4 linked regions of the Cricetulus griseus genome follow. The protein of the gene in region 1 purifies or fractionates together with the protein of each later gene. This does not show direct contact. Links are inferred from orthologs where the notes say so. Each region holds a gene or a part of one and is shown in the gene's direction. Other genes may lie near its edges.

The links.
Region 2: the proteins of Cstf2 (region 1) and Cstf3 fractionate together in Homo sapiens (co-fractionation; 4 studies listed by BioGRID and IntAct, with this or other methods). This does not show direct contact. The link is inferred for Cricetulus griseus from reciprocal best matches to the Homo sapiens genes CSTF2 and CSTF3.
Region 3: the proteins of Cstf2 (region 1) and Sympk purify together in Homo sapiens (affinity purification with mass spectrometry; 4 studies listed by BioGRID and IntAct, with this or other methods). This does not show direct contact. The link is inferred for Cricetulus griseus from reciprocal best matches to the Homo sapiens genes CSTF2 and SYMPK.
Region 4: the proteins of Cstf2 (region 1) and Cpsf2 purify together in Homo sapiens (affinity purification with western blotting; 3 studies listed by BioGRID and IntAct, with this or other methods). This does not show direct contact. The link is inferred for Cricetulus griseus from reciprocal best matches to the Homo sapiens genes CSTF2 and CPSF2.

Annotation. Positions count from the first base shown.
Region 1 is NC_048604.1:46,067,418-46,073,421, reverse strand, and holds the start of Cstf2 (cleavage stimulation factor subunit 2), read left to right. Parts: upstream 1-2,057; 5' UTR 2,058-2,164; coding exon 2,165-2,222; intron 2,223-4,102; coding exon 4,103-4,181; intron 4,182-4,616; coding exon 4,617-4,786; intron 4,787-5,323; coding exon 5,324-5,460; intron 5,461-5,977; coding exon 5,978-6,004. UniProt on the Homo sapiens protein: One of the multiple factors required for polyadenylation and 3'-end cleavage of mammalian pre-mRNAs. This subunit is directly involved in the binding to pre-mRNAs.
Region 2 is NC_048599.1:73,016,407-73,021,958, reverse strand, and holds part of Cstf3 (cleavage stimulation factor subunit 3), read left to right. Parts: intron 1-1,258; coding exon 1,259-1,421; intron 1,422-3,434; coding exon 3,435-3,544; intron 3,545-4,175; coding exon 4,176-4,292; intron 4,293-4,656; coding exon 4,657-4,731; intron 4,732-5,552. UniProt on the Homo sapiens protein: One of the multiple factors required for polyadenylation and 3'-end cleavage of mammalian pre-mRNAs.
Region 3 is NC_048602.1:28,335,266-28,340,817, reverse strand, and holds part of Sympk (symplekin), read left to right. Parts: intron 1-727; coding exon 728-781; intron 782-862; coding exon 863-936; intron 937-3,382; coding exon 3,383-3,545; intron 3,546-4,951; coding exon 4,952-5,201; intron 5,202-5,462; coding exon 5,463-5,552. UniProt on the Homo sapiens protein: Scaffold protein that functions as a component of a multimolecular complex involved in histone mRNA 3'-end processing. Specific component of the tight junction (TJ) plaque, but might not be an exclusively junctional component. May have a house-keeping rule.
Region 4 is NC_048598.1:104,041,305-104,046,856, reverse strand, and holds part of Cpsf2 (cleavage and polyadenylation specificity factor subunit 2), read left to right. Parts: intron 1-1,029; coding exon 1,030-1,145; intron 1,146-2,210; coding exon 2,211-2,398; intron 2,399-3,259; coding exon 3,260-3,550; intron 3,551-5,552. UniProt on the Homo sapiens protein: Component of the cleavage and polyadenylation specificity factor (CPSF) complex that play a key role in pre-mRNA 3'-end formation, recognizing the AAUAAA signal sequence and interacting with poly(A) polymerase and other factors to bring about cleavage and poly(A) addition.

The DNA of each region.
Region 1 (6,004 bases):
GACAGTTGTGAGCTGCCTTGTGGGCGCTGGGAATTGAACTCAGGACCTCTGGAGGAGCTGCCAATGCTCTTAACTGATGTTATGGTGGAAGTTCCACCCAAGCCTCCTCCCCTATCCCTCTCCAAACTCTGTTACATCTCAGTAAGCCTGCCAAGTGATGACCCCTCCCCCAGAGACGGCCAGGACTACTCCTACAGGGTATTTAAACTGCCTCTCAGAAAGTAGACCTGGTTTTCCGGTCTTCCCCCATCCCTGCTTGGGGACTGGAAGGCCATCTGGGAGCGTTGCATCCATTAAACGTGGCTTTTTCTAATTCAGTTTGATTTGGTCTGATTAGGATTACTGCATTGGCAGAGATGCTTATCGGGGTGTAGAAACTTTCCACCTACAAATGTCAGCTTTTATTGGAATTAGCTGCATAGTTGTGAGAGAGCTAAAGTAGAAGTTACCCATGCAAAACTGACCACACAACATGGATGTTAGAGCCAGGGTCTGTTTTCTCCACTATAGCTGATAGAAACATTGGCATCTGGTAGAGTGAGGAGTTCATTGAGTAGCACTCTAGATATGACAGTATGTTTCTTGTTTCTGCATCTTCTTGCAGTCATACTGTTTCGCTAGTCATCCAGCAACCAAAACCACTCCACTCCGTTTCCAAGCCTCCTCACTCACAAGGGGTAAAGCTGAGCAAAATTTTCTAGGCCTACTAGAAGAGCTGCCCCGCTATTACTTAAGAAAAATCACAGATAAAAAAAGAATGTATGGCTGCACCAAATGTTGTCACAAAACTACTTCATTAACTACGTTTCCCAAATTGCATGGCCAGAGAACCACCAGAGGCACTCATAGAAAAAATAATTCTCTCATTCCTTGTGTAAAATCTCACCCTATATGTAGATTGGAGTAGAGGTCCAAGAACCCCTATTTTTAGTTAAGTACCCCAACTAAATCTTTTGTCTGTATGAATTTTGAAACGTTAGGTGAGAAATCTACTTAGCCATACATTCATTTAGTGAAAATTCACTACATTGAACTGTGATGCACCAAAATTGTCAATCTGTGCCTTTTACAGAGCTGTAAATATCAAGCTCCAAACAATTCTATTATATAAAAGATCCTATAGGTCACATAGTGATTGGAAATTCAATCGGTGATACTTGCCAACTTTCCTCTTTACCAGAGTTACTCGAGACATGTTCCTCTGTGTGTGTGCGTGTTGTGTGTTCTATTCCTCATTTTTAAAGCACAGACTCTTCTGATACAGGATGTATGTTTTTCTGGGGATTTAATGCATGGTTTGTAAGCACTCTACCGATGGGCCACATACCCAGCTCATGGAATTGGCATTTTTAAACCCATGCCTCCAAGTCTGTGCCTATTTTACTACATTGGACTTACTTTGCCAGGTAGGTTTTCTCGGACGGCAGGGCTATTAACTCCTTTCCTTGTTCTTTTAATCTGATTTCCCTCAGGATAACCCACCCTGCATTTCCTCCAACTCCAGTGGCAGGCTAACTGTTCTGGTACTAACCCAGGAGGTGTGCACAACCACAGCCAAGGGCATTTTCCATGGCTTCCAAAACTTCCCCTGCTCATGTCCAGTGCCACACTGCCCCTAGGCTTTCTTACTAGTGCTGGTACTAGACTTTGAGAGTCCTCTCATTCCCCAGCCTCTCTCAGCTCTCCCTCAGTACAGGGAAGCGTCAACAAAGTAATAGGATGTATGCTACTGGGGACGGCCCCCACATTTCTAGTAGGACAGAACGAAGATGACAGTGCCAGAGCTGTTAGCAAATGACTTCCCTGTTGCCAGGGTAAATCTGCGGCAGCCATCTGTAGCGCTGCTTACAAACGTTTGGATGTGCACCAGTGAAAATGACGGAGGAGGAGGACCGCAAACGCAGAGACTTCAAATTAGCATAGCTCGGCCCCCTGCGGGCAACCCACGCCCCTTTTCTCGGGCCGTAGGTCTTCCCGCAGACTGTTGCCCCACCCCCGAACAAAACCCTAGGCGGGAACCCACAACGTGACGCGCGGAACGAGATCCGTGGCGGCTCTGTCCAGGTGCTTCCGGCTCCCACCGGACGGAGGCGCGCTCGGCCCTGGCCTCACTCTGCCACGGAAGTGTGTTTTAGGCGCACCGGAAGCCACCTCAGGGGTAGCCATGGCGGGTTTGCCTGTTAGAGACCCTGCGGTGGATCGTTCTCTGCGTTCTGTGTTCGGTGAGAGGAATTTAGTGGCGCCTCCAGTCAGGGAGGGATGTCCCCTGCGGTCCCCAGCTGGAGCGGGTGTCGGGGCGGGCGTGCGATTTCCCCGCTGTCCTTTGACGCGGCAGCCTGGTGTACTCGTGGGCAAACAGAGCCCCCCCCCCCAACTTGGGCTCCAAGGTATTGGAGGTTTTCCGCAGTGTGGTTCAGGGAGCTAGACCCTAGCGTTTGTCGTCTCTGTTTTCCCCTTCATGATTCTCAGTTATTTTTTAGGAGAAAAGGTGCGTGGAAACAGAGCGCCCCTGTTCCGTGCTGCTTCTCCTAGCCCAAAATACAGATTTAATTTTGAAGCCATCGACCCTATATCCACTTCCTGCCCTCTCATAAACGCCTAATATCGCTTGCTTTTTACTTGTAACGTTTCATCCAACCATAGTGGTAGCGGCCACCTGGGCACCTTGAGGTGGGTTGCGAATGAATGAATGAATGATTGATTGATGAAAGCTCAGGGAGATTCTAGAGAAGCGAAACTAAACAGTTCTTAGGAATTAAATGAGTTAATTTTTTTTTTTTCGAGACAGGGTTTCTCTGTGTGGCTTTGGAGGCTGTCCTGGAACTCACTCTGGAGACCAGGTTGGTCTCGAGCTCACAGAGATCCTCCTGTCCCTGCTTCCAGAGTGCTGGCATTAAAGGCGTGTGCCACGTGTATTGCTGTTTTTTTTTTTCCTTGGGGGCAGGGGTTGGTTTTTTTTCTGGCTCCCAAGGGCTGGGATTAAAAACGTGCGCTTTTAGTAGGGCGTTGGTGGCGCACGCCTTTAATCCTAGCAATAGGGAGGCAGAGGCAGGCGGATCTCTGTGAGTTCGAGACCAGCCTGGTCTACAAGAGCTAGCTCCAGGACAGCCTCCAAAAGCCACAGAGAAACACTGTCTCGAAAAACCAAAAAATAAAAACGTGTGCTTTTGCCGGGCGTTGGTGGCACATGTCTTTAATCCCAGCACACGGGAGGCAGAGGTAGGAGGATCTCTGAGTTTGAGACCAGTTCGGTCTACAAGAGCTAGTTCCAGGACAGCCTCTAAAGCCCTAGAAACCCTGTCTCCAAAAACCAAAAAAAACAAAAACAAAAAAACAAAAACAAAACTTAAGCTTTTGGGGGGAGGGGTGGTGGTTTTGTTTTGTTGGTTGCTTTTTTTCTGCCTAAGTGCTGGGATTAAAGGCATGCGCTTTTTTTGTTGTTGGTTTTTTCTGCCTCCCAAGTGCTGGGGTTAAAGGCGTGCACTTTTGGGGGGGGGTGGTTTTTTTTTCTTTGTTTTTGGTTTTTTTTTTTTCTGCCTCCTGAGTGCACGTTTAAAAGCACGTTTTGGGGCAGTACAATTGCCTCAAATTCAACGCCAGCCTAGGTTACATAACAAGGCCGGCCACACTATATAATAAGACTTAAAACAAAAAGAACAAGAAGCACTGTTTGAAAGAAACATGACAAAACAGTTGAGAATGATTTTTAACCCCCCTCCACTATATTCCTGGCTATTCCCTCCATAAGCATGTGTATACATGGAAATACAGACATGAACCCACCCTCTTTATGTTTTTAGTAGTCACTGGTCAAACACAGGGTTATGAGTAAATACCAGTGCTTAAACATATATTTTCATCAAAGTAAGGGAAAACATCCTATTTGTCATATCCATATGAGAACTGTTTGAAAGACTTCTTTTTTTATTTTGCCTCTGGGTCTGTTGTGGGGTCTGAAAAGGTACAGTGGAAGCGTTTTGGAGAACACTGTTCAGTCAACTTGTTACCTATTTATTGATAAAAATAGAAAGCCTACTGTTTACTTGCTTACTGAAGAGCTCCATTACTGCACCAGCATTTTAATGTATTATCTGTTCCTTAGTGGGAAACATTCCGTATGAAGCTACTGAAGAACAACTGAAGGACATCTTCTCTGAGGTTGGGCCTGTTGTTAGTTTCAGGTGAGAACTTTTAAGATCTTCATGGGAGATTCTTTAAAAACCACAGATTTTGAGATAAATGTACATGCTTTATAATTCATATCCAGTCTTACTTGGAAAATTTCTTTCATTAAAAATGTTTCAAAAACATAAAAGCAGAAATAGAAGAGTGTCTTTTTGGGGGGATTTGGAGACAGGGTTCCTCTGTGTAACAGGCTTGGCTGTCCTGAAACTCAGTGTATAGCCAGACTGACCTTGAACCACAGAAATCTGCCTGCCTCTGCCTCCTGAGCATTGGGATTAAAGGCATGCACCACCATGCCTGGCTTAGAAGGGTATCTTACTGTGGTCTAAATTAGAACATGCCAATGTTAGCAAGAAGCCTGTGTGTGTGTGTGTGTGTGTGTGTGTGTGTGTGTGTAGCATTTGTTTCTGATACTTGGTTTTGCTCTTCAGATTGGTATATGATAGGGAGACAGGAAAACCAAAAGGTTATGGCTTCTGTGAATACCAAGACCAAGAAACAGCACTTAGTGCCATGCGGAACTTGAATGGGCGTGAATTCAGTGGACGAGCACTTCGAGTGGATAATGCTGCCAGTGAAAAGAACAAAGAAGAACTGAAAAGTGAGTATAAATGCAAGCCATATATATTACAAGTTAATGAAGATGAGAAGATGATCCAAGTTGTTCATTTGGGATTATGCTTTAGAAGATGCTGAGGTGGTTAGCTGAAGGAAAAGCTTCTTAGAACCAAGGGTGCCTGGAGTGAAAGATGTGTACATTTAAGCAACTTGGCTTTAGAAATCTTTCTGTTCTTTAGGAGTTGGTCTCCACTTTTTGGGACATTTCAGGTTCATAAAGCCTAAAGGCATTTCCACAAATCCTGTTGAAGTTAGCATCTTTGTCTATTTAAATGTTTTTCTTCTGAAGTGATTTGCCAACAAAATCAATAGCAGCATTATCACTTTCATAGCTGTTACCTAAGAACAGAAGATACACTGTCACTTTCCTTCTCAGAAAGATTTTTAGGTGGCTTAATTTCTAGCTCCAGAATCTGAAGTTACTGGTTGGTGCTCACAGACACCCTGGAAAATAGCCATTTGAAATGACTTAGGTTGTTATTTTGCCTTCCTGACTTTGTTGTGCTCTCTTCCTAATCAGGCCTTGGAACTGGTGCACCGGTCATTGAGTCACCTTATGGAGAGACCATCAGTCCTGAGGATGCCCCTGAGTCTATTAGCAAAGCAGTCGCCAGCCTTCCCCCAGAGCAGATGTTTGAGCTGATGAAACAAATGAAGGTGGGAGGGGGTGTTAGATGATAAACACAATTGACAACAGCTATTCAAAGGTTAATGGACAGAGTTCCCCCAGCTTAAGGAGTTGAGTCTGTAGGCACTGTAGCATCCACTTTTTATACACACATTTATTTTTATATACAAACAGACCTTCCCAAACAGTCTACTGTGTTTCTATGCCCCCTGTAGATGTTAAATTATAGTTTTGCCCATAAGTGATAACATTAGCATATTCTAAATGCCTTTGATTGCCTGCCACAGCCACGATTTTTTGTTCAATGTCAAAATCAGTGCTAAATCACCAGGCATGGTATTTTGTGCCTTTAGTCCCACCACTTGGGATGCTGAGGCAGAAGAGTCACAGTGAGTTCAAAACCAGAATGGGATACATGAGACTCTGTCTCAAAAAGAAAATCACTAGTAACTCAGACATTGTCTTGAATATGATGTTTATGAGATTAAATGGCTCAAGTCAGATTCTTTGTATTGAATCTGAAGGTGAATTTTCTTATCTTCTCAGCTCTGTGTCCAGAATAGTCCCCAGGAA
Region 2 (5,552 bases), on another chromosome or scaffold:
GTCCTGGAACTCATTAAGCAAACCAGGCTGGTATTATTTAGAAAGATCAATTTGCCTTTGCCTCCTGAGTGCTGGGATCAAAGACCAGGCAAGATGATATAGTTCAATTGAAATAGTTCTTTAGGTTATGTTAAATGACAGAATGTAAGTTGGATTTGGAAGAAATTTTTTTCGTGTGTGTGTGTGTGTGTGTGTGTGTGTGTGTGTGTGTGTGTGTGTGTGTGTGTGTGTTTGTTTGTTACTGGGCATCAAATAATGAGTCTGTGAGATCAGACCCAGTGAGTCTGTGGATGTTACTGGACAGCACTAATCCAATGTGTATATTTGTAATGGGGCATCAGCTAACCTGGGGATTCACACATATTAGGAAGTATTCTACTACTGAGTTACATCCCAATCCAACAAGTTGTTTTTTTGTTTGTTTGTTTGTTTTGTTTTTTTTTGTTTTTTTTTTCTGATTGTTGATGAAGTAGAGTTTGTTTATGAAGTAGAGTCTTGCTATGTAGTACTGACTAGCCTGGTACTTTGTAACTCAGCTACCCTCAAATTAATGGCACTCTTCCTGTGTCATCTTCCCAAGTGCTGGAATTATAAGCATGAGCTACCATGCCTGGCCAGAAATATTTTTCCAAACAGAAATTTTACATAAAATAACTGAAGTAGTTGATATCCTTCTTTCATATTTGCTTATCTGAATATTGTATTACTCTGTAGTCAGAGTGTGGTTATGAAATAACATAACTCTTTGAGACAGATTTTGGGCTCTGTACATACCTTTTCTATTCATTGGAAAAGTAGCCAAATAGTGCAAACTATTAGCTTCTCCAGAGGTGACAATAACAATTCTACCGAATCTCCACTCGTGTTACCTCTTTCATCATACATCCTGCAGAGTGACCCTCCTCCACTGCCTGTAGAGATAGCTCATGGCTATTCTGTTTATCACTCCTAGGATCTGGTATTGGTTGGTAATACTGTGTTGTGTCTTTCCTTACTCGGGTTTTGTTTTAGTTGGTTGGTTTTGGATGTTGTTGCTTGGATATCTGTTTTTTTTCTAATAGGGTCTCATGTAGCCAATGTTGACCTTAAACTCACTATGTATCTGAAGATAATCTTGAATTCTAAAATCATATTAACAAAGTGATATTAGGTAGAGGAGAGTAAACATTTTAAACAAAGTATTTTAGACTTATCAACCTTCCCCCCCTTATATCTGAGTTGTTCTAGGCTCATCAAACATTTCTAAATGTTTGTTTAGGAATATGAGACAGTAATGAAAGGCTTGGATCGCAATGCTCCTTCAGTGCCTCCTCAGAATACTCCTCAAGAAGCTCAGCAAGTAGACATGTGGAAGAAGTACATCCAGTGGGAGAAGAGTAACCCTCTTCGAACAGAGGACCAGACCCTTATAACCAAAAGAGGTAACAAGAGTAGCCCTCGTGGGACTCCAACTACATGTGTCTTGGACTGTTTGATTTTAACCTCATGGATTGCCTCAAGCTCTGCTCCTGCTTCTGCCACCCACCACTCCAGGCTCTTTACTCTGCAGGTTAGGTTGGCTTCAAGCTCACTATGTAGCCTTGGCTGACCTCCAACTCATGATCTGTCTTAACTTCCTAAGTCACAGGAATGTGCTACCATGCCCAGATGAGGCTTTGATTTTTATTCCTAAATCTTTTGTTTTTCCACTTGTGTTTTTTCATTCATAATCATGTCTACAGATCTATCTTCATGTTCACATAGTCCTAGTTTTATTGTATCTAATCTGCTGTTGAGCTAATATAGCAAATTGTTCATTATATATACTGTATTTTTTAGTTCTATAAATTTCCATTTAATTTTTTTATAATTTTAATTACTCTATTGAGTTTCATGTGTTACAATGTAGTTGTGTTTGTGTGTATGTCTGTATATTTTAATTTTTAATTGTTTGTGTATATGGATGTTTTGACTGCATGAATGTCTTGCATACCGCTTACATGCCTGGTGCCCAAAGAGACTTGAAGAAGTCATTGGATCCTCTGGAACTGCAGTTACAGATAATTATGAGCTACCATGTGGGTGCTGAGAATCAAACCCAGGTTATGTGCAAGAACAAGTGCTCTTAACCGCTGAGCCATCTTTCCAGCTCCTGTAATGTGTCTTCTTTAGATTCACGAATGTGGTTATTACAATAGCTGCAAAGTCCTCATTTACTAATTCCTAAAGGCAGTGGACCATCATGGGATTGGTTTCCTTTGACATTTGACAGTTGGTCACATTTTCATGTTTTGTAACCTATATAAACAAACAGTTAAATTTTTTAACATTTTATAAATGTACAAATAATAGATTATAAAGACTGGATTCTTTGGTCTTCTCTGAAGAATACTGAGTTTTATTTAATAGGAAGTTCAATTATTTATTATCCATTTGGACTTTGTATAATGTGAATCTCACCATTGCCCCTGGACAATCAATCTACTTTGATTTCTGCTTCATTTTGCAGTTTGGGGGGGTGGTTTATTTCATTTTACATATATAACATGTGCACACAAAAACATACACACATGGAGATAGAGAAGTATCAGGAATTGAACCAAAGGCCTTGTACATTTGTTCATACTAAGCATATGCTCTACCATAGAGATATACCTTCTGTCTTCAGTTTATATTAATTTCAGAAGAGTTAGATTTATACAAATTACTATTACTGATGGATTGGAATTTCACTGAATTCTTAATTTTGTAGGCTCACTCACCTACATGACTTTATACTGTTTCTTTGCCTGTATCTATTTTGGGGCACTGGTTCAAACCCAGAACCACATGTATGGCAGATAGGAATTCTACCACTGAGTCACATCCTTGGCAGCCTCTGCCAATGTGTACCCTCCCTTCCATCTGTCTCACTTAATTCTCATTGACCAACTTCTGCTGCTTTGGTCTCCAGATGCCAGTCACTCAATGAAATTACTTAGGCTTTCTTTCTTCCAACATGTGTGTCTGTGTGTGTACATGTATGGTGGTTTTTTATGTTTGCTTTTACTGTCCTGTGTAGACTACATCCTTCTTGAATGTTGGCAGCCATGTTCACTTCTTTTTTTCTTTTTCTTTTATTTGAATTAGAAACAAGATTGTTTTACATGTCAATCCCAGTTCCCACTCCCTCCCCTTCTCCCCTACCACTCCCCCCACCCCCACCCCCATCTGCCAAATCCCCCCCCCCACCGTTCACTTTTGTGCCTTTCTTTCCAGCATCTAGTTGTCCCAATAGATAGTAATTTGGTAAATAGTGAACAAATCAGCCTCTGGATGATGGCATCAGAGGTTACTTTTTTATTTCAAATCATTCATTGTTAAAGATCATGTCTGAGTCTAATAATTTCATGTGTGCTTGTGATAATGTTGTTAGTGCTGTTTATCTTAATTGTTTTGTGCTTGTCTTCCCTTAGTTATGTTTGCTTATGAACAGTGCCTGCTTGTGCTGGGCCATCACCCTGATATTTGGTACGAAGCTGCCCAGTATCTGGAACAGTCAAGTAAGCTGCTTGCGGAAAAGGGGGTGCGTATCCTTCCCCATCCTCTTTTTACCTTTGTGACTTTGCTCTAGCAATAAGATCTACTGAAAAAATATAACATCAATTTTAGTAAAAAAGCATAAGTATTATCTAGGTTTAAACACATACCCATACACATATACCAACACATAACATTAAATATAGCAGAAGGGGAGCTATTTGGGAAGTGTGGCAGAGAGACGAGACAAGGTATTGGGTATAATCTCAGGAAATACAGTGGTGTATATATATGAAAATGTCATATTAAAACTCATATGCTAAATTTACTAAAAGTTTGTATATGAAAAGTATCTGTTGAAAATTTTAAGCTTATGTCAGTATTAATTTTAGTAATACTCATGATTATATTTCCTTAGAATTAAAATATGATTGCTTTTAAAATTTTATCAAAGTGCTATATCATTTAAAGAACTTAAATGGTTCTCCTATAGTTCTCCTAAGTAACGGGTGCTGGAGTGGATAACTGTGTGGTAGAGGCCCCTGGGCTCAAGCCCTAAAAACTTCTCTGCTCAGAGCAGGAATAAATCCTTGGTAATTTTTTTTAATGCAAATGTGTATTTTTAGTCTTTCAACTACATTGAAGTTATTGAGGATGTGCTTCCTTTTTCCTCTTAGGATATGAACAATGCCAAATTATTTAGTGATGAAGCTGCTAACATATATGAAAGAGCCATAAGCACTTTATTAAAGAAGAACATGCTCCTTTATTTTGCATATGCAGATTATGAAGAGGTGAGAAGACTCAGAAGGTTTGGAACTCTGTATGTGTGTGTGTGTGTGTGTGTGTGTGTCCGTCCCATGCTGGCCTCAAACTCATGCTTCTCCCTGAGCCTGCTGTATACAGGGATTGCATCTAGTGCTTACAGTTTTACTGAAGGACTAAGTTGTTTTTTGGAGGGACAGGGGAGCAGCTTCTTTGTTTTGTAGCCAGAGATGGTGACAGTAAACAGTTGTTAGTCCTCAAGTTCATATAAATTTATGTGCAATATAGGTGCCATTGTGTCTTGTGGGAACAGGAGTATAGGCTTCGGGCTCCTTAAAGCTTATATCTGTTCATTAGTGAGTATATACTTATATTCACTTCTCTGCCTCCTAGAGTCGCATGAAGTATGAGAAGGTTCACAGTATATATAACAGGCTTCTGGCAATTGAGGACATTGACCCCACCTTGGTGAGTAACCTTCTAAGTCTCTTTTTCACCATCATACTCTGACTTAATACAGCAAACATTTAAATCACACACAATGACATTCATTGTTCTTATGTCTTATTAGATCATGAGACCTTCTATACAAAACACTACTGGGCATGATGGCTAACACTTGTAATCTCAGTATTTAGGAAGTGGAGACAGAAGGATCAGGACTATATAGTGAGTTTAAGGATAACCTGCACTATATAAGATTCTGCCTCAAGAAGCAAATAAAGAAGTAAAGCATTTCCACCACCTCTGAAAAAATCCCCTTCTGTGACCCTTTGTATAACCCTTTACTCTGCCCCAATCCCTAAAAGTAATCTCTACTCTATTAATATTGTTTTTACTGCATCAGTATAAAATAGCTACAAAAGGTCTTTCTTATAACACTATATGATCATATTTTTAAATTAGTCTTTTAAAATAGGCATACTTAGTAGGAGTTTCATTATGGCATTTTCATGCATGCTTTATTTTTGCTATTCTCCTATCTCATCTCCTTTTCCCCCTTATTTGGTGCCTTTCCAATTCTAATAGTCTCCCTTTTGCTTTCATGTCACATATATTCTATTTCTCTTACCTTCTCCTACCCTTACGGTCTCTTTACTCATGGTTGAGTTTACAGTTTCATGGTTCATTTGTGGTAGTTTGAATGTAATTGGCTGTAATTATCTCAGAGAGAGTGGCACTATTAGGAGCTATGGCTTTGTTGGAGTGGGTATGGTCTTGTTGGAGGAAGCTTGTGGGAGTGGGCTTTGAGATCTCCTATGCTCAGGATACCACCCAGTGTCTCAGTT
Region 3 (5,552 bases), on another chromosome or scaffold:
TCTCTCTCTAGTCCTCTGGAAGAGCAGCCAGTGCTCTTAACTGCTGAGCCCTCTCTCCAGACCCTATCTTTAAATTAGGCACTTATTTTTTTATTTTCCTGGTATGTCTGGTGTGCATGTATGCTTGTTCACATGGATGGAGGTGCCTGGTTGCTTGGTGTGAGGTACAGGCATGTGTGCACACATGTATGTGTTGACATGTGTGTTTCTTAGTCACTGTCTGCTTGGTTGAGGCAGGGTCTCTCAGTAGACCCCAAAGCCTGCTGAGCCATTAGTCTAGCCTGCCAGGTTGCCCTGGGATCCTGCCTCTGTCTCCAAAGTGCTGGGACTTTGGCTGTGTTGCTTCAGAGATCCAAAATGCCCTGGGGCTTGTGGAGGGAGTGTTTACCCACCGAGCCATCTCCACGTCCCATACTTTTATACTCTTTGCCTCAGGTATGCCTGCACAGCACGTGGGTATCGGGGCAACTTGCTGGAAATCTTTCTACCAAGAGGCTCCCAGAGAGTCTGTTTAGATCTTGAGGCATGGGTGGCTAGCACTTTACCCCCTAAGCCATCCTGATGGCCCTTATTTTTAGTTTTTTTAGATAGAGTCCATAGTATAGACTGCCTTGATAGCATGACAATCCTGCCTCAGCCTCCCAAGTACAGGGACTATGAAGAAGAGCCACCGTGCCTGGCTTTGGAGCCTGGTTCCAGGTCTGTTCTTCCTCCCCCAATCTCCTAGGTCCAGGAGCTGATCATCAACAAAGACCCCACCCTGCTCGACAACTTCTTGGATGTGAGTGATGGCCCTGGGGTGGGATAAAGGTGAGGTGATGCTCCTTGGTGTGGCTAAGCCATCTCCCTTCCGACATCACAGGAGATCATCGCTTTCCAAGCAGACAAGTCCATCGAGGTGCGCAAGTTCGTCATAGGCTTCATCGAGGAGGCATGGTACGCGCCTCTTTAGAGTCCTGGGGGCCTGGCGCATGTCCCCAGAGTTCCTCCCCCGCCACACAGCCCCTGCCCTTGAAGCAACACTTCATGGCTGCTTTGTTGGTTGAAGTGGCGGTTCTCCTTTCAGAACACAGGCAGCCGCTGCTTGCTGCTTGCCATCTCAGTCTCCGCTGTGGCTACTCCTGAACCAGGCTGATGTGATATGGTACTGGGAGGTGAACTCAGGTTCTCAGGAGCCGACTGCTGAGCCGTCCCTCCACCCCGGACCATGTTAAAACAGTCATAAGTGCTGATTAGTACAGTCACTCTGTAGTTCTTGATTTGCTTTAGACAAGAACTGATGCAGCTCAGGCTGGCCTGGAGCTACTTTGTAGCAGAGGATAAAACCTTGAATTTCTGGTCCTCCTGTCCCTGTCTCCTGTTTCTGGAATGGGAGGTTTGCTCCCAGTCCCTGGCCTCATAGTCTAGTTGGGAACCATCTGCAGAGGGAAGTCATACCCTCACCAACCTCTGCGCGTAGCTAGGCCATCTGCTGAGCGGATATGGCATCTTACTGTGCCTCTCCTACACTCCTGCCGGTCCTCCGAGCACTCGCCTGACCCCATCTCCCTCTGCTCCTCACAAAACGCCAGTGTCCTTCCTAGCCAGTCTGCTTCTGCCTGACCTGGGGCCATTCCATCACTTCTCCAGGTTCCTCAGAAAACCTTGCCTGAGCATTCCCTTTGACTCCTGTCTTCACTGTCGCTGTTTTTTTTGTGGTGCTCCACACTGCTTGAAATTGCCTGGGTAATTCACCAAAAAATAAATGGTGGCTTCACAGCAGGGCCTCCATATCCCAGTGTTTCCTCAAACAAGATTGGTTCTAACAGTGGTGACAGTGTAGGTGTTGAACAAGCAAGGACATCTAGTAATGGCTTGACCCCTCTTGCCTTTGATCTCCACAGCAGCCCTGGATAGCCAGTCACCCTCTCTGAGATTCAGAATGGGAAGTAGCTGGTTCCTTTCTCTATTCACGTTTGGCTCTGCAAGGGGGAGGAGATAAAATAGCTCTTTTTGTTACCCTGCTAGCCTGCCAGGAGCTATTGAGTCTTGTTGACTTATTTGTTATTCAACCTTCATCATGAGGCTTTGAGGTGATTTGGAGGGTCCGGTGGGTTTTCCCCGAGTTCACTTGGCCGAACTTGGCAGACCTAGGATACTTTACTCTGTGTCTCTGACCCCATTGCCCCACATTGGCACACTCGCCTCTTTACTGGGAACATTGGTGATAGTTTTTCATGTTGTTTGCTAGAGACAGGTTCTTACTGTGGCCTTGAACTTGGGGCAGTCCTCCTCCCTCTCAGCCTCCCAGGTGCTGAGATTGTGGCATACCACATCCAGCTGTACTAAATTTTAGGAGTTCGCAAAAAATTGTGTAACAGATGTGTCCAGTGAGCAAAACTGTGTAATGCCCTGTCTTCCAGAATTTGACACTCAAGTTTTATTTTATTTTATTTTATTTTATTTTATTTTTGTCTAGACAGGGTCTCACGTAACCCAGGCCTACAGCCAGTGCTCTTAAACACTGAGCCATCTCTCCAGCCCACCATTTTTTTGTCTTCTCTTTTCCTTCCCTCCTTCCTTCCCTCCTTCCTTCCTTCCTTCCTTCCTTCCTTCCTTCCTTCCTCTCTTTCTTTGGTGTTTCATGTTTTTTGAACGGTGTAACTGGTGCTTGGAATCAGAACGGAACGTACATTGTGAAAAGAATCCCATTAACGTGTTGCGCTCCGGGGGCGGGCCTTCTCAGATTGCTTTGTTCCTTGGCCAGACGTCACTGGAGGCCTTTGATTCTTTCTGGCAGCCAAAGTGACCCTGCCAGTTCTTAGCCCTACCAAAGGGTCCCTGATGTGGGAGCCTTCAGGCCTGAGTAAACAAAACTAGGTGTTTTCCTAAGTCCTTTCATTGCACGCTCGGTGGTTTTGGTGGCTGTTTTTACCACCTGTGCTGTGGGTGTTCTCCAAGTAAGATAAGGAATGGGGCTAGGGATGTGGCTCCGTTAGAATGCTTGCCGAGCATGCACAGAGCCTTGGGTTCCATCCCCAGCACTTTAGAAATCTGTGTGGTGGTACACACTTACAAATCCTAGCACAGGAGGTGTGGAGGCAGGAGCATCTGGAGCCCAAGGTCATCCTCAGCTGTTAGATAGTTAGAGGCCAAGCTGGGGCTGAGACTCTGTCTCAGAGAAAAAGATGATGGCCTGCTCAAACTTCAAACAATTGTTGGCTGTCCCTTACTTAGACAGCTGGACCCTACAGAGTTGCGGGAGTGAAGGCCGCAGGGCCAGCTGTGGTACAGTGAGGTGTCGCCATCATCCGACACTACGGGGAGTACTGACCATAAAGAGTCCCCACCTCCACCTCAGTCTCTTGATTCACAGGCCTGAGTCCCTATTCCCTACCCCAAGGCCAGCATTACCTGTCCCCTTCTCTTCCATCCCCAGCAAGCGGGACATTGAGCTGCTGCTAAAACTGATCGCCAACCTCAACATGCTCCTGCGGGACGAAAATGTGAACGTGGTAAAGAAAGCCATCCTCACCATGACGCAGCTCTACAAGGTGGCCCTGCAGGTGAGCAGCGCAGCTGGGCCTTCCCAGCCGGGGTGGCCTTCCTTACAGTCCAAGCCATGCCAGGGGTCGAGGTCAAGGCTGAGTTGCCCAGAGAAACCTTGAATTTCCCTCTCCCTGCCCACACTTCCTCCTTTTGCTGGGTTATGGCCTGTGTTGCCAGTCGTGGCAAGCATAAGCTTGTCATAAGTGAATCTGCTGCTGTTGTGAGAACAGACAGCAAGGCATCTAATGTTTGGGTCCACTCATTTATGTATTCCACAGACATTCCCCAAGAATGTCCACTCTCAAGCCCTGACAGGTGGTTCAGGGGATGGCCAGGACCAAGATTCTAGATGCAGTGCTAGCTCAGTGAGGGATGCAGGGCAGCCAGGTGTGGGTTGCTCACCTGCCAACCTAGCATGTGTAAGGCTAGGGCAGAAAGAGTTCAAGGCCACCTTGGACTGCAGAAATAATAGCAGTTTTTTAAAAAGGACCACAAATCTACAGAGATGGCCAAGCTGTTGGGAATGCTTGTTCTTCCAGAGGGCCCGGGTTCACTTCCACATGGTCTCTCGTAACCATCTGTAACTCCAATTTCTTTCTTTTTTGGGGGTGGGGGGTGGGGGGCTTTCGAGACAGGGTTTCTCTGTGGCTTTGGAGGCTGTCCTGGAACTCGCTCTTGTAGACCAGGCTGGTCTCGAACTCACAGAGATCCACCTGCCTCTGCCTCCCGAGTACTGGGATTAAAGGCGTGTGCCACCAATGCCCATCCAATTTCAGGTCATCCGATGCTCTCTTCTGACTTCCTCGGGTACTGCATACATGTGTTGCACAGATATATGCAGACAAAACACCCATACACATAAAAATAAACATCTTTGAAAAGGAGAATCACACGAGTTCTCAGTTGTTATTTGATGACACAGGAGTGAGTTTATTGGTTGGGCCATTCATTGTTAGCAAAATGAAGCCAGTCAGTCACTGCTGCTTTTTTGGGGAGTGGTATAGGGTGCTTTGTCTGCGTACATGTCTATGCAGTGTGTGTACAGTGCCTGTAGAGGCCAGAAGAGAACATCAGATCTTCTGGAACTGCAGTAGCAGACAGGGAGAGATGCCATGTGGGTATGGGAATGCAACCTGGGCTCTCTGCAAGAGCAGCCCATACTCTTTAACTGCTCCCCTATCTCTTGAGCCCTGCTGACCCCTCTGAGGTGACTGCTCCTGTGTCTTGAGGTCTGATACTTCATCACTGGCTTAGCTGTGTCTTGGTTGCCCCCATCCTAGCCTTGCCCAGTACTGAGCATAGCTGTTGGTTTAACTAAGTGAATGTGCTCACAGTCATTCAGTCTGCAGGTGGGGGGCGGATCCTGCTCACGGTGATGTGTTGTCTTCGCTGTCTGTCTTTTCTATTCCTGACCCCTCGGCAGTGGATGGTGAAGTCTCGGGTCATCAACGATCTCCAGGAGGCCTGCTGGGACATGGTGTCCTCCATGGCTGGGGAAATCATCCTACTCTTGGATTCCGACAACGATGGCATCCGTACACATGCCATCAAGTTTGTGGAGGGCCTCATTGTCACCCTGTCACCCCGCATGGCTGATTCAGAGGTCCCCCGACGCCAAGAGCATGACATCAGTCTGGACCGAATCCCTCGAGATCACCCCTACATCCAGTACAGTGAGTGTTGCTGTTCCCTAGTGCCCTGTGTGTACTCACAGTGCTGTTACAGTGTCTTCTGTAGATACACATGGAGTTTGCTGTACTCATTTTCCTGTAGTATGAGCTCAGTGTGTTTACACCAGAACATAACTGTTGACTCTGGAGGACCAGACTGAGAGCAGTGCTGCTCCAGGGCCTGTTGGGCTGTGAGGGTGGATCTCCATCTAGTCAGGTTGACAGTGGGGCCCCACTGACTGAGCCTCTCTTCTTCCCCGTTAGATGTCCTGTGGGAGGAAGGCAAGGCAGCCTTGGAGCAGCTGCTGAAGTTCATGGTACACCCCGCCATCTCCTCCATCAACCTGACCACAG
Region 4 (5,552 bases), on another chromosome or scaffold:
GCTTACAAAAGAAACTGATGAATTTGATTATATGCAGATTTAAAACAGTAACCTACACTGTAAAACCATTAAACTAGGGAAAGTACTGTAGCAATTAGCCAAAGATTTACATATATATAAAACTAGGAATTACCCAAGAAATCAAAAATGCACTAATTGCAAATTGGACAGCATTAGTCAAAACAGAGATGTTAAAATAGTATGTAGTTATTATATATGTTTATATTATTTCCAAATACTGTTAGCCTCCTAGGAAGAATTGAGCTTGTCAGTCTTTGTGGTTGAGCCTTTCTAGCAAGCCATTTGACACTAGTTGTATATACATTTCAAGGAATGTGTCCTAAAGAAGTAAAAAATACAGCTAGGTGTGGTGGCACACCCCTGTGGTCCCAGTGCTTAAGAGAAGGAGGCAGGAGGACTGGGAGGTCTTTCAAAGATAAAATGGTGAAAAAGAGACTCAAACAGGGAAAAATAAATGGTCAGATAAATACATCATGGTGCAGGTAAAATAGGAAGTTTTTACAGTCGTGAGCTGAATACCTTGGTGCAAACCTGTAATCCTAGCTATTGGGAGGCTAAGGACGGAGGAATGTGATGTCACCTGGGCTGCATATAGCCCATTTCTCTACAAACAATTGCCTGGCAGCAAGTTTTTACAATTTCTAAAAATTAGGTTTAGAAAAAATGCTAATGTCATGGGGAAAGTCCAGAAGATAGAAATGAATATATAAGAATATACAGGGTTATCTGTGTTCTAAATGCCTATATGGATACACAAGAAAATTCGTTTGTTGAGAAGGATAGGGCCAATATATCATTTCATTTGTCTTGAAGTGGTGGTCCTCTGGAACATTTCTACTTTCCTCCTTAAACTTTTTTGAATTTATCAGGTTTTTTTTTTTTTTTTTTTTTTTTTAAATCACGAATGCATATGTTTATAGTTGGGGGTGTTTTTAAAAGCAGTTACTTTTGTAATAGGTGAAGCCATCGCTGTTCATTTGAAATGACAGGTATTCTTCATCTTTATAGCCACTTAAATGGATGTTCCCTGGAAATGCTAAGCAGACCCTCTCTGCTTATCACAGATTCATTCAATGCTACGTATGTGCAGCCTAGAAGGAAACAGAGAGATGAGCAGCTCTTGAGTACGTATATCCGTATTCTGTAGGAATAGCTGTGGGGGTGTGGGGATAGCCATTCCTGCTTATTCTGTTAGCTTTGTCAGAAGAGATCTGCTAACTCGAGTAATTTCTAGTTACATTTTATACATTTGTACAATGCGTGCATATGTGTATGCTTGCCACAGAGTGCATGTAGAAGTCAGAGGACAACTTGAGGAAGTTAGTTTTCTCCTCCCACCATCTGGGTTTCAGGATCAAACTCAGGTCGTCAGGCTTGGTGACAAGCGCTTTAATCCACTAAGCTATTTTGCTGGGCCCATAACTCCTGTGGTGTTTTGTTTTTAAAAATGTTAATGTGACCATGTCAAGATACTCTCTAAAGACTGGCTTCCTCTACCGCTCAGCACATAGATAGCTCCCTCAGGCATTCACTGGCCTCTGTATAACATGCATATATTGAGAGAGGTAAAAAAAAACAGCAAAGGGAACCCAAGAGAGCTCTGAAAGCACACAAGGTCTGCTGGCTGGGTGCTTCGTGTTCTGTTCTGATAGAGTTAGCTTGATTTTACTCAGGCGCCTTTGTGCCATCACCTCTTGCTTCTGCTTTGACTCGTTCTGCTGTGCTTTGTGTTATTTTTTTATAAGCCATATGTGATGGCAGCAGGAAAGCTGGGTTCCACTTTTAAACGTGTGAGCAAACACTCATCTGTCTGCTTACCAATGCATTTTTAAGAAGCTCCTCAATTCATGTGTGTGTATGTATACATGCGTGAGCATGTTTACTGGGTAGAGTTTGCTTTTACCCAGCACTTGAAGCTGACATTGACAGCTATTGCCAAAGATGCTTTTCTTCTTGGAAGGTTACATGTTCTGTGTTTTATTCTACATGCATTCATACAAAACATGTATCATGTGTTTTATTCCTAAAAAGATATATATAACCAAGTCAACAGTCATTGTGTTGATCTGAACAAATACTTTTATATGTATCCTAGTAATTACTTATGCAGTCTTTATAGAAGACACTGGAAACTGTTTAGTTTTGTTGCAAAGCATGTGCTTCATGGGGCTCTTCTGATCTTGTTTAAGCAAATGTTCTGGAAACTCTCCGTGGTGATGGAAATGTTCTAATAGCAGTGGACACAGCCGGCAGGGTTCTGGAGCTTGCTCAACTTCTTGATCAGATTTGGAGAACTAAAGATGCAGGCCTTGGTGTTTATTCACTGGCCCTCCTGAATAACGTCAGCTATAACGTGGTGGAGTTTTCTAAGTCACAGGTTTGTTCTTTGTTCTCCCGTGACATTGAGGAAAGAGGCTAAGTGTAGTGCCCTTCAAATATTATTTTTCTGCAATTGATAATAATAGTAGCTGAATGTTAACTGTTTACTGTCCTGTGTTCTTCACATATGTTACTTCATTTACGCTTAAGATTTCTGTTTTTGTCCTCATTTGACAGGTTGAGCAAGTTGCTTGTTTTCTAACTCTTGGTTTTCTGATCTATAAAATGGGAGTAAAAGTAAAATATCAATGCTAGAATTCATCATTCTTTTGGGTGGGGGCAGAGTTTCAAGACAGGGTCTGTGTAACAGTCCTGGCTGTCCTGGAACTCACTCTGTAGACCAGGCTGGCCTAGAACTCACTGAGATGGCCTCTGTCTCCCGAAGATGAGCCACCACAGCCCAGTGAATTCATCTTAAAATGAATTCTTTCCCTCCAAGCAATGATACCTGGTTCCGATATTCATTTAGAACACATTCTCTTCTCAGAAAGATTTAAGCCCACATCAGTGAAACACTGCACAATTGTTGTTTTCAAGACAGGGTTTCTTTGTGTAGCCCTGGCTTTGGAATTCTCTATAGACCAGGCTGGCTCCAAAGTCAGAGCCTCCAGCTTCTGCAGATCTCTTCTGCGTAGGGATTAAAGGCATGCAAAACCACACTTGACAAAATTGGGGAGGGGGGTTGTTGTTTTTTTAAGGATTAAAAACTGGAACAGGAGAATCTAATGGGAAAAAGGACCAATTAGCTACTTGTCCAAATGGCACAAATTGGGTCGGGGGGAGTCTTAAATTTTGATTATTGTTAAATATTTCACAATATAGCATTTTCTAATTATTGTCATTTCCCCCCTTGCCTTAGGTAGAATGGATGAGTGATAAATTGATGAGATGTTTTGAAGACAAGAGAAATAATCCATTTCAGTTTCGCCATCTCTCTCTGTGCCATGGTCTTTCTGACTTGGCTCGAGTTCCAAGCCCCAAAGTTGTACTTGCCAGCCAGCCTGACCTGGAGTGTGGATTCTCAAGGGACCTCTTTATTCAGTGGTGCCAGGATCCTAAAAACTCAATCATTTTAACTTATAGAACAACTCCTGGGACTTTAGCTCGTTTCTTAATTGATAATCCTTCTGAGAAAGTTACAGAAATAGAGGTAAGCACTTAGTTACGTTCAAACTTTAAATTTATTTTATTTACCTGCCAATGGCTCCAGTTAGTGCTGCCTGTGTACATGTGAGTATGCGTGAAGCCATCTTCTGAAGCATGGGCACTGTGCTTATGCCGTATCCTCAAAGAAAAATGACTTTCCCTCTCACACTTGCTAATAGTGCAGACACTATTAGCAAGCCTGCCTTTCCTGTCACCTAGCCACATCTTTGCACTAGTGTGTGCCTGCACTCAAGCAGCTTTCTGCCATGTGAGTTAAACAGGAGCAGTGAACACATTTCCCTTCATGTGGAGACCTCACCTCGGAAGCGAACCAACAGTAGCATTCAGCACTCAGTGGAACATTCATTTTCTCATTCCCCAGTAAGCCAGCCTTTGCCTTCTTTCTCTTCCAGTGTTCCACAACTAACCTAGCCTCATCCTTTGCACATGACCTTGCCTGGAATTTAACAGAGAAGTAGAAGGCCAGTCAGGAATCCTGTCTCCTCCCACTAAATACACTAACCCACCTCTGCACCTTCATTAACAAGGCAGCTAACGGAACGACCAAGATGTGGAAAGATTTTGCTTAATAACCAGGCCATCAAATCTGTCAGATTTCCACAACCAGTATTGTTGACAGATGTCCATGGCCATCACTTCAAGTGGGTTGGCTAGTAGCTGCAAGACTTATGCATAGTTTGAATGGCCATTTTGTATTTTGTCCTCATAGCAGCATTTGAAGGTATATTTACTTTGTGAAAGCTATCTGGTATCCTTCTCTTAATATAATAAGTAGTTTAAGAAAAGCATCATTATTAGCAACTAAAGTCTGATAAATGTTCACTAACTACAGCATTGCTGACAAAAGGATTCCAAGCAAGTATATCAAAATAAAATACTGTCTTGGGTTATTTAATAGCTTAGAAATATCAAGTTAAAATAACTCAGAAGTACTTAATAGTTTCATGAGAAATGAAGTACTGCATTTGAAATTTTTAATTACTAGAAACTCAATTAGGGTTGATATGCCATTGAGGAATTAAAAGGACATTAAAAGTTTGAAAAAAAAAAGCAAAATGATATTCTAAAGTATCCTCATGATATCAGAAACAGCAGAAACAAAGGGGGAGGCTTTAATTTAAAAGGCTACTTGGTGTGCTCAGGTTCTGTCCCCACTCACCTTCTCCTCCCTTCTCTCCCATACCTTGTTCTGCCCCTTATATGGTCACATCCGTCTGTCTCTGCTCCCTGAGTGCATAAAAGGGTGTGCACCATCACAACTATCTGGTTAGATACAACCTTGTATTATTTTTCTTAATATTCATTACCACATGTTTCCTTGTTTGTTGTCTTCTTTTTGCTACCAAATTGAATGGAGTTCCAGAAGAAGAGGGACCTTCGTAGTGGCCAGGAAAGTGCCATTGCACTGCTGGCCCTCAGTGAATGTGCTGGTGGCTATCATGATGACAAAAGAGCGAGTTCCTCACAGGCCAGTCCTCTGACACATTAGCATTTACTGTGGGTCTATTTTTTTGCATACATATAGTGCCCTAGGAAATTAAGCCTTGTTCATTTAAAAAGAGCAAAGCCAGTAATTTTAAAAAGGCGGGGGTGGGGGTGAATGAAGAAACAGACTAGAGTTTATATTAGGAAAAGGCAAGACTTGGAGTGATACTGTGAAAGTGGAGAAGGAATGTATTTTAGAGTTGATTGTTCTGGAAACTTTATGAATACAGCAGCTAATATCAGGTCTCAGAATTGGAATACAGAACTGAGACAAATTTTATTTAATTATTTTTTTGAGATGGGGTTTTGCTATATTGTCCAGTCTGAACTGAAACTCCATTCTCCCTCCTGAAGTTCCTGGGTTGTGAGGTCCAGGCTTGAGTCACCACACCAGGCTAAGAACAACATTTTTATAAGAGGTACAAGTTAAATGAGGGAATTAAATACTTAATGAAAAAAAAATTTGTGTGCAAGGTATCTATGTGAGTTGTTAACTGCTT